3 linked regions of the Oreochromis niloticus genome follow. The protein of the gene in region 3 purifies or fractionates together with the protein of the main gene of each other region. This does not show direct contact. Links are inferred from orthologs where the notes say so. Each region holds a gene or a part of one and is shown on either strand. Other genes may lie near its edges.

Evidence for each region.
Region 1: the proteins of stx8 (region 3) and vti1a purify together in Homo sapiens (affinity purification with mass spectrometry; 3 studies listed by BioGRID and IntAct, with this or other methods). This does not show direct contact. The link is inferred for Oreochromis niloticus from reciprocal best matches to the Homo sapiens genes STX8 and VTI1A.
Region 2: the proteins of stx8 (region 3) and vamp8 purify together in Homo sapiens (co-immunoprecipitation; 5 studies listed by BioGRID and IntAct, with this or other methods). This does not show direct contact. The link is inferred for Oreochromis niloticus from reciprocal best matches to the Homo sapiens genes STX8 and VAMP8.

The regions. Positions count from the first base shown.
Region 1 is NC_031973.2:13,245,425-13,249,179, forward strand, and holds the start of vti1a (vesicle transport through interaction with t-SNAREs homolog 1A), read left to right. Parts: upstream 1-1,106; 5' UTR 1,107-1,146; coding exon 1,147-1,240; intron 1,241-3,755. UniProt on the Homo sapiens protein: V-SNARE that mediates vesicle transport pathways through interactions with t-SNAREs on the target membrane. These interactions are proposed to mediate aspects of the specificity of vesicle trafficking and to promote fusion of the lipid bilayers.
Region 2 is NC_031977.2:6,109,851-6,113,605, forward strand, and holds the start of vamp8 (vesicle-associated membrane protein 8), read left to right. Parts: upstream 1-927; 5' UTR 928-1,117; coding exon 1,118-1,132; intron 1,133-3,688; coding exon 3,689-3,755. UniProt on the Homo sapiens protein: SNAREs, soluble N-ethylmaleimide-sensitive factor-attachment protein receptors, are essential proteins for fusion of cellular membranes.
Region 3 is NC_031971.2:26,236,381-26,240,135, forward strand, and holds the start of stx8 (syntaxin-8), read left to right. Parts: upstream 1-980; 5' UTR 981-1,119; coding exon 1,120-1,136; intron 1,137-2,369; coding exon 2,370-2,469; intron 2,470-2,544; coding exon 2,545-2,639; intron 2,640-2,838; coding exon 2,839-2,949; intron 2,950-3,755. Other genes in the region: TBC1 domain family member 24, read right to left, coding at 798-807. UniProt on the Homo sapiens protein: Vesicle trafficking protein that functions in the early secretory pathway, possibly by mediating retrograde transport from cis-Golgi membranes to the ER.

The sequences.
Region 1 (3,755 bases), on a different chromosome or scaffold from region 3:
TCATACAGGGCTACGTAGGTTTGGATACCCCCTCCCCCCATTAATAAATGAAATTATCCTTTAAAAACTGCATTTTGCATTTACTCGTGTTATCTTTGTCTAATGTTAAGATTTGTTTGATTATCTGAAACATGTAAATGTGACAAATGTGCAAAATACTCTTTCACAACACAATTTAGATCATACTGCTATTGAAAAAGATGTTATTCATGCTTTAAAAAAAGAAACAACTCCTCGGTAGTTGCAATAAAAATACTGAACAACCATGACTAACATTTTTAGCTAATGACTTAAAAGCAAGTACAGAAACGGCAATAAAACATGCCACACTAACGTAGACAGTGCTGGATTTGTATTAGTATTAAATTACCATACTAAAAGCAGAACCATAGCATTTGCTTCATTGACTAATTAGCTTGTGTTACCAAGCTAGCTAATTCTCGCCAAAAAAAGAAAAATAATTACGATTTATATGCAAGTCTTCTATCCATCACTGCACAGTAATGGACAGAAAACTATGCGTTAGACAACTCCGCTTTAAAAAAACAAACAGACAAGTGATAAGTTTATGCCTTTAGCTCTAAAATTGTGTTTCCGTTAGCACCGTGGGTTGAGCAGTTATCGTTAGATAGCTAGCCTAGTCACCAGCATAAACACTAATAACGTAGCATGCTGAACACTTACCACGAGGGGCAAATAGAAAACAAAGATAACCTAAATGACAAATGCTTTGTTTTTAATAAATAGAAACAAAAGGCTGTCACTTTAAATCACCAACCTGGTCACTTCCTTATTTTTTTTTCATAAAATTTTCCTGTGTACAGTGAGGAACCTTCCTCATGGTGTCTCAGAAACTACTACCCTGAACCACTTGTAGATACCTTTTAATCCAAGTAGTAGTCTATCACCGAAACGGCACAGAACTACAAGAATTATTCATGCATTCAAATTCGGGCTGAAATTAATAGCATTTTCTGTCCACCTTTCGAACCTTTTTCAGTGTCGAAAACGTGAAAACAAAGTCAAGTTCCTTACCGAGCACATTATGCTGTGACTCAAGGAAGAAGCTCCATTCGAGGCTTGTTGTTATTCCGAGCTAACTGTCAACCAGAAAGCTACTTACCTGTTGTAAACTCGACTACCAGAATGTCTTCAGACTTTGAAGCATACGAGCAGGACTTTGGAACAATTACAGCAGAAATAACTAATAAAATTGGCCGAATTCCCAAACTAAGTGGAGGTAAGAGAGTTACATTTATAAGCTGTTAAACCTCATCTGGCTTGCTAGCTCTAGTCTCAGCTGACAAGGCAGCTAACGGTAGCGATAATGTGATTTCATCCAAATATTGGTCAAACTAGTGGTGAAACACAGCTATATGTAAAGAGTTCTTGTTATATAAAAAGAATGTGTCATGTATATGTGGCCGTCTTCTTATCTTGGTATGTCTTTGATCGGTTTAGCCGGTGTGAAAATAGTGTTAAAGAACATCCTAACTCTGTTTATGGTGTTCAGAAGAGGATAGAAGCTTCAAATCACTTTAATGAGTAGGTTAATATTAATTGAAACTATTCAACTGAAGTAATCTTTTAGTGTTATCATAGTGATTTAGTGTATGAGATTCAGTGTATGAGATTCTTGCCAATACTTACCATAAAGAAAAACCTATGGATGTTTTTGTGGACAACCATCATTGGAAAAGTTAAGTTTTGGAATGGCACTGATATCACAGCAGCTTTCAGTGACACTTTTGGTGAGTGTAGTTTTTAGTTTTACTGTGGATTTCAGTTTTAGCCAGTTTAAAAATAATTCAGCCTTTTGATACCAGCAAGTTTGAAAGCATACGTTTCTTAATATGTTAGCAAGGGCCTAGTAACTAATATGATGGACTAATAACTTTTTCCTGGTATTGACTTAAAAAATATTTAAAAGCGTGTCTTTGGTTGACTATTTATTTAGCTCTTCACATTCCATTCACTTTTATTTATATAGCGTTAAATCACAACAGCAGTCACTGAAGGTACTTGGATTAGAGCAATGTAACCTTCAGTGGACGGCTTTTCCAGCAAAAGGTTAGGAGTTTCAAAAATGTTCTCATTGATCTTCAGAACACAGTCCTGGATGCAGCTGTAGATGGTGTACTCTGGTTCATCCGTGCGTGCTGTCCTGCACAAAGGTGCAAAATAAGGACAGTGCATGAGGTAGGGCTGCTCAATTATGGCAAAAATGATAATCACGATTATTTTCACTGAAATTGAGATCTTGATTATTTGACGATATTTATTTAACAATAACAATGTATTGAATAATGGCTTTAAAGATTGTCAAAAAATAGTATAAAATAGTGTGCAAATACTGATTAGTGCAAATGTTTGCAATATAAAAAATAAATGAAAAATGTAAACATCTATGTTTAGTGAACTTCAAAAAACTGCACAATATTTGATCCACGTCTGACTCCGCGAACCCATAATGTTTCCACACCACTGAAGTCGTTTTACCTCTCTTTTCAACCAACGGCATTCTTTCTTCAGCAGCCGTTATCCTCTCCTCTCCAAATAACTTCTGCTTAGCTTTCCGAGCTTCCCTCGGGTCTTCTTAATTGTTGTGACACGTGTTTGAAACGCAGAGAGGTGTGCTCGATTTGCCACACGGAGCAGCGCGAGAGTAAAGCACGAGGGAGGTGCTAATAATCGGCTCAGTCATTTTTAATGATCGTTGAAAGCCCAGATCGTAATCTAGATTAAAATTTGATTAATTGAGCAGCCCTAGCGTGAGGTCCATAGTAGGAGTTACAGATGGGTTTGAGGTGGGATTACATCAAGCATCAGGTCTGAGTTCCTTCTTGTTTGCAGTGATAATGGACAGGTTGATAGATGAAGTCAGGCAGGAGCCTCTGTGGACTTTCATGTTCGCAGATGACATTTTGACCTGCAGTTACAGTAGGGAGCAGGTATAAGAGGTCCTGAAGTTGAGGTATGCACTAGAAAGAAGAGGAGTGAAAGTCAATAGACAAGAGAGAATACGTGTGTGAATAAGAGGGAGACAGATGTAACAGTTAAGATGGATGAGTTTAAATAAAAGCAATGCACAGTGCACAAGAAAAGTTAAGAAAGGAGTACAGGAGAGGTGGAATAGTGTCAGGGTTTATTTGTGATAGATGGACAACAGCAAGAGTAAAAGGAAAGAGAAGGTATTGAGACCTGCTATTAGTGCTGTGCGATATGACGATATATATCGTGTGGACGATAGAAAAGTTTCTATCGTGCCATTTGTCTTCTATCGTTTCTGTCGTTTCTAACCCTAATTTCATAAATTATTACATAAAATATATCATTAACCCTTTACAACCGGTCGGAACAGGCACACTCCGTTTTGCCTAACTATTTTTAAATCCCTGTAGAACTGGAACCACGTAAGGTAGCGCAATAATTTTTTTTTGCATATGAAACCGTAGGAGTTGTACTTACATGTTATTCCATTAGCTTGCCCTAGGTCACGGTTTCCTTCCACATATAGCTTTGCAAAAATTGCATAAAAAGCACTTCCAGCAACAAAAACATAATATTCCAGACTTGCAGCAACAAAAACAATATTCCGGAAACACGCTTTGCCGATCCGATCAGCTGTTCATAACACTTCCTAGTTGGAATATATTTGTCAGCGCGAACTATCGCATGTCCGCCATTACCTGACCGAAACCGGAAGTGACGTCATTTTCGCGGAAAATGTAGTTTTTTTACTTTTTATAGCCTAC
Region 2 (3,755 bases), on a different chromosome or scaffold from region 3:
ACTACTCAACAGCACACAAAAAATGTACATTGTGAACAGAAATAAAAGCTTTTTTTCTAAAATCTGATGGAGAAATTAATTCCAAAACATGCTACCCCACATTTTTTGTTCTTTGAGAATGAACAGGCAGTATTTCAGCACACTTAAACAATGACTTTCAAACAGTTTTCCCAAATTGACGTAATGCCTTTGATTATTTTTAGCTGCTTCTGATTCAAAGCAGCTTGCAGCAGTCATGACATAAGGGCATGCAATGACCAATATTCAATCTTCGTCACCAGTTTCACCAGACAAAGAAACCGGTTTGTCAGGGCTCAAGCTGCTAGCTGGCTGAAATTTGTGACACCAGGAGAGGGAGGAGTAACTGAGCTGAGGCCACTGCTGCTAATCTTTAAGAGTGCTGCTCTCCAGTTTCACTGTTGTCCCCCTTGAAACTTAAAAAAAAAACCCCGTATACAAATATGTACATCCTCGTTTACTATCAAAAATGCATTGGGTTACTTTACAGTTATGCTAAGTTAGAAAGCAAGTTTGTCAGCCATCCTGAACACAAAGTTCTCGGAAAGTTTCACCGCCAGCATATCATGGGTACATCTTGGTATGACGCCTTCTTTAACAATAGAAGAGGGACTGCCGCCTACAGGTGTTTTTGGAGACAATAAAGGAAGTAAACGTATGCACCTGCAAAATAAAAGCACGTAGGTCTACAATGAAAGTTTGATTCGCTTCAAAATCATTACAGTACTTTTACAGGTAGTGAAAATCAATATCTGAATACGAGTATATAAAATATAATGACGAATATTACTGTGTAAAAATTAAAGGAGACATATTTGTTTATATAAACTTTTTTTCTTTAATGTTTACCCAACCACTGTAGCCTAAAACGTTAGGTTGCTTTATTTTGGAAACCAAAGGGCGGAAACGGAGTTGTCGTTCACTTAACAGTTGGAAGAAGGCAATTAAGGGAGGAAAAAAACAACCAGGAAGTAAAACAGGGAGAAACGTATTTGCTTCGAGACTTTAAACTGGTTTTAAAAGGTTTTAAATCAAATCGTCAACTTTTAAAGAAAGTAGATCCTTCGGTTTGCGGATAGAGGACATTTTTTCCAGCAAGATGGACACTGATCCGGTAGGTGATAATGACCTTTGTTTATGTTGTTCAGAAAGCCTCCCCGCCGTCACCAGTTTGTTCAGCGACAGTCTCAAACAGGTGTTCTTCCACATAAATCAACTTGTACTTAACTTGAAACCTACCTCGACTGAAAATAACTTAAGTCGGCGCACTAACTTTTTCATTTTTGAGGGAGTAAAGCAGTAAGTAAAGCAGCTTAAAAAAAATGGCCTAATTACACACAGTACTCAGTACGTGTTGGAAATGATTTTTGTAAAGTTGAGATGCGTTTGTTTTCCATAAAATAAAGCCGCATACTTCAAGTAAATGTTTCCATTTACTACTATCTATTTATAATACATGTTACTAACTGATAAACGGTTGTTTTTCACGTATTTGAAGAATGTTTCACAGGTCGTTGGTGGAGCCATTCGCCTGTAGCCAAGCTCTGCTTGAGCAAGTAGCAGTTTAATGCTAACTTACCTTACAAAATAGATATTATCCACTGGGCAACACTTTTTAAAATTATTATTATTATTATTATTACAATTATTTTATTAGTAAAGGGGAAAAATAAACTTTTACAGGTAGAGCAGCTGAAGTGGCGTTTATTACGTGCTAAATTAGGTTTACTGCTGTCATGTTTTAACATTATTTAATGTTGGCACAAAAGAGGCATATGTATATGTGTGTGTGCGCGCGCGCGCGCGTGCCTTGCAACATATTTCTTTGCCTACTTTAATGTAGAAATGGCTGCTATGAAGACTTTTTTTGTTTCTTTTTTTGTTAACTAATAACACAAAAGGCCACATAATGAACTAATTATAATCTGTTGGCAGTCAGTGCTGTTTATTCTGCTGAACAGTTAAGAACGTCCAGGCAGTTCTTTAAATATCTGTAATGACTCAACATTGTCGACCTAAAATAAAAACGTTTCCTTCTAGCCTGCAGGAAAATCTTACTTCCTGTAGTATTCAAATCTCAATGTGTGTCCTCACAGATTAGGGCAGTTTCCAATTTGCCTATATCAGTGTGAGCAGTAAGGATTCAGTGTTTGAATAAATGTTTTGGATTTACAGCTGCAGTCAAACATTTTAACAGGAAATATCTGTTGGAACATTTTAAGGTGTACTTCCTTGATCATTTTCCTCATGCACCAATCACATATTTACAAGACCCCTTATCTGTCAATTTATAAAGAGAGACTGAAGTCACTCAGCTTACAACATATCAAATATTTGAATTGGATTCTTAATGTAGCCGCCTTCTGCAGCTGCCTTGGACACTTTACTTTCTGTTTATTGATACTTGATAGGCATCAGCCATTCGGTGGGCCTGAGTGACTGACGTCCTAGCACTGGTACAGAGGAATGAGAGAGATTAAACACATGTAATGAAGATATAACAAGAAAAAGAAAATTAAAGATGACTCCAGAGTTTGGGTTTTTTTTCAGAAAATTCTTCTGAAAAAGGATGAATGGAAAAGGAGGAAAAGAAGGGAGGGCGGGGTAACAGGAGAGGCGAGAGACACATGACGCAGGAGAACCTGCCCTGTTTCCTAGAGACAGTTTTGTTACAGTCTGTTGCTGACTCATGGGACGGAGTGGTCCCTGCATGTTTACTGACACACCCCCAACTGCACACAGCATTTCTGCGTTGAAATCACATGTACAGCTATGTGAGGTAACAGCTGACGTTTCTCTTGAATGCACACAGGCTCTTAGCAGACCTTCACAGATGTATAAAAGTGGTCAGTTGACAGCCACAAGGTGCAGCTCAAGGGCTTGTAAATAAATACTGTGGTTACAAACGGGTCAAAAGGACATATTTACATTATATGCTGCTTTGTCACTTGCAGACTCAATCATGTGGAGATAGTCATGTCCAATAAAACATGAAGAGGCCGGGCCTCATCAAAGACTTATAAAGGGATATTTTTGCAATTTAGCTGTGCACTTCTGTGAGTCTTTAGAGATTTTCCTGAGACAGGTTTGCAAAAGAAGTAGAACCTTTGATATTCAGACAGTCACTCTGACATTTTTGAGGTCTCAAAGCACAAGTACAGGAGATAGCTACCTGAAGTTTTCAGGGCCGAAGGACACATTTTGGTTTTGTTAAAACTGACGCTAAACCAGGTTAACATTTTTTTTTCTTTAACAAACTAAGCATCAGTATCACAGGATATATCATAGTTTCTATCTCAAAATTGCACCCATTTAATGTCTATGACTTGAAGCAAGAGAACAAAGTAGTGCTACATGCAGCATATGCTTGATTGATGAGCAGACTTCACTGTTCACCCAGCTGATACTTTTTATTTTTTGAATTGCTCTGCTTGTAGGCAGTTCATGCCAACGCTATTTTGTGTGCGTGTGTGTGTGTCGGGGGGGGATGATGTCTTTAAACATCATGCTTTGGTGGTTTTCTGTTATCCAAGGAGGCCCTGTATTTTTGGGGAGGGTTGTTGGGTTTGTTTTTTTTTTTTTGTTTTTTTTTTACATTGTTAAAAATAGAAAATGGTTTCTGCAAAGGGATTGCAGCTAACTGTTCTTTAATGACCCTTCTCTATACCAGGAGCGCGGAGGAATAGAAGAAATGCCAGAGCCTAAGGACAAGGTGCAGGCTTTAAAGGATCAGGTGG
Region 3 (3,755 bases):
ATCTTTATATATTGTTGCTGTGTCAAGATCTTCCCATTTCTTGGTGTTTGACTGTATGAAAAGCTAAATAAAAATAAATGAATGAATTAAAACAACTATTTTCTTCATTAAATAATTAATGGGGAACTGATAGAGACATCTTAAATATGATTTATCAAGCCATGATAATAGTCTTTATATAATATGGGTATAATGTATGAGTCAGCATCTAAGTATTGTTTGGATGTTAAGAATGTAAGATATATTCCTTTCAGCACAACTTTTTAAATGGTATCACTTTAATACATGTAAAAAAAAAAGGCTATCTCCTATTGTTCAAGCTCAATTTAAGTCTTCCTACATGCAGCTTCTTTGGAGTGTCTTTTTGAGGATTATTGGGAATTTATAAGTAAGAATAAGGATTTCACTCCTCTTTTGTAATAAAGCAGCTGGATCTAGTCTGATAGATTATAAACACAATGATCTGTTCTATTGTTCTAATGAATAAAAGAACTACTACATTTATGATAAGTTGGATAAGGCATTTCTGTCAAGGAAGCTATGATTAACTGAGAACTCTACTAGAACAATAGTGAATCAATCAGCACTTGCAAGGAAAAAACAGAGATTCAACAGGGAAACGTTGGAAAGAGGAATAGGCACTTAGTCAAAGGAGAGAGAGGCTGGTGAGAAACATAATGTTGTTTTGACTAGGCCGAGGCAGCTCACTCTAAAAGTCATAGGCACACATCCAGATGTTTTTTTTTAATTTGGAAAATTGAGATCACATCTAATAATTATATTAAATTATATCTTACTGTAGGTCATCCACGTCTAAGGCTTTCCCATGAGTCTTTATTTCTGCCTGAAGTGTTTTTTTCCGTGTGAAATCCTCAACTAGTTAGTCGAGCAGCCCTGAAATTTCTACACTTTAACTGACCCGTGAGTCAAAAATTAACAGCAAATCCTAACCCACAGAGGGCAGCATTATGTTATTACAATGCGCGCTCTGTAGAGGTCGTGGGAAGTTTGTCTCTGTCGCCTACCGTAGTGACGTCTTGTCAAAACAAGAAACAGGCTGCTAGTGATTACAGCCGGATAGTTGGTTCAAACTTGGCTTAATAGCTGACTTTTAGCATAATGTCTCAGGATGCCTGGTAAGTCATTGTCTTGAATGGAAAAGTAAAATGACTCAGATGTATTTTTAAGGACAACAAATATTATTTCTACGCCTTGTAACTACTTTGAATCTAGCTAGCGAAAGTGGTAGCTATGATGATTAGCCAAATAAAATAACATGTATTTTTGTTTAGTGATTAGAAAGTAACCGCTTCGTGTGTCGGGAAGTAGCTTGGTGGTTTTGGATTCGGATTTCAAAACAATTTGTTGTCGTTGTTGTCGTCGTCGTTGTTGTTGTTGTTGTTGTTGTTGTTGTTGGGTCTACTTATAACAGCAAATCAAATAGCGTTAGAGAATGGGGGAAGAGGAATGCTAAAAATGTCACAAGATAAAACCAAAGCTTGTGCTATGTTTCTGACGCTTTACCCCAATTTGGCTACAGTAATACTAAATAATAATATTAAATAACAATTATTCTGATAGCCATGTAGCTCATGCTTTCGATTAGGCAATACACCATCTAAAGTCGTTCACTTGATCCGTTGTTCAATAAGTTAATTTTCAGTTTGCATAGTTTTATGCGTTAATCATTATTTTCATGATCATTGTGGGTTTTCAAAACATATATTTCAAGTTTTAGAAATTTGATTTATTTATTTATCTTTCGCTTGCTACAACCTACACAGAAACAAAGTTCAGACAAGAAGTTGCCCAAAACTAAAATACGGTGCATCTGTTTAGGGATCTGAAACTTGAGTGTGACAAATATGCAAAATTCCACATCCTTTTGTGTCAAGTCAAAAGTAGAGGTATTTATCACTGATGGAACGGCCCGCGTCTCCTGAGTATCTGTTATACGCATATGCAGTTCTTCCATTTGTGTAAAAGGTAACATCTTTTTAGTCTAGTGCGCGGAAAAGAATTCTGTGCAATACTGATGCAGGGACCCAAAACGATTTGCGAATGACTTCTCAGCCAAGCAACATTTATTACACTGTGAGAATGTTGATGGAAAGGTTAAATTCATTTTGGTTTTGGAGTAATACAACTATGACACAAAACATAATCTTTTTTATCTTTTATGTTAAACACACCAAGTTTACTTGTAATGAAAAGTATTATAAAAATTAAATGTATGAAAATATTATCCATCATTATATTAGAATGCAGATTCATGCACTGAATCTTAGTTTTACTACTTCATCTTTGGCTACTTGATGATGTTGCAGTTCAAGTTACATGGCATTTTAATTCTCATTTTTCATTTGCAGGTTACAAAATTATGATGCCACTTGCCGCTTGGCACAGGAAATAGCTGAAAACATCCATGAACGGAACAGACAACAGAGAACGGGGGGGAACCCTGCAAAGGTAGCCTCTTACAATTACAGTAGTATTGCCTTCACATTCCTTTTGTATTAGCGAGCTAATCTTCTGTCTTTTCAGATAAACATGACGCTACGGGCTTCACTTCAGAAGCTGAAACAAAATATCGCTCAGCTCAAGGAGGGCTTGTTGCGGGCATCCTCATCTCGCCGCATGTATCCTTTAGTTTAGAAGTGTGAAAAGCCCACTTTGCTTACATTGGCAGAGGTGTTCCAATAGGGGGCATTAGAGTGTTTAGAAAGTGACCTTACTAATGCAACATGCTTAAGTTTTAGAAACATAAGTTGTCCCTGCTCATCAAAAGTGGTTAAAGCATTGTGAATGTTTTGTGTAACCTTATCATGGCCTCATCAGAATGCAGCCCGAAGCTGACAGAAGGCAGAACCTCATTGATGACCTGCTAACCAGAGAGAAGCAGCTAAATGCAACTTTCAAGGGCGATATTACAGAGTCTGAACCCTCCAGGTAACATTAGGCATGTTAGGTTATTATAAATGGGATAAAGTGTTAAGAAAAGGAATATGTGCAAATATCACTAATCACAGATTGTCCCACTTTCAAAGATTTCATTTTATCTTAACATATTTTGATCACAGTAGTGCTTGACGTAGTAGTTTCTTTACTTCTACGCCCACTTTGGAATATTTGCTCACCGTTAATTTCTGTCACTTCTCGGTCAGTGTCAGGAGAAGCAAACCAAGCATCACTGATTGATGAGCATCCTGCTCAGATCACACTGCCTTTCATTTTGTAACTTGTCCTCTTTGAGAATTTTTTTTAGTACAATTTCCACCTCTGGTTGCCCCAATTAAAAATAATGAATCCTCATTCTCTTGTCTGTGTTCTTGACCTGAGAGGTCACAGGCCCTAGTCTCTGCTTTGATGATATGTCACCGGTCACTAACTTTCAGCGAGTCTTTGTACATCCTGTATGACCTCCCCTGGTGCTGTCACTCGGAGGGAAGTCTGTGTGCCTACCATTTTGACAGGGCGCTTAACTTCATAGCTAATTCTTTTTCATTAATGGATTTGCTTGCTTTGCACTGTTGATTACACATTTGGCACGTACTCACGCACAAATGATGAAGACAGAAAGAGCAAGTTTATTACTAGCAATTGAGCATAGTGTACTCTATACTGTATACTTACACAGTGTATTCTGCTAGTTAAGGAAAGAGCCAGATACCACCACTGTATATAAAAGATATACATGGATGTCATGGATTCCATATTTTAAATTCCCAATGATATTTTGGCCATTGCTATTTAGC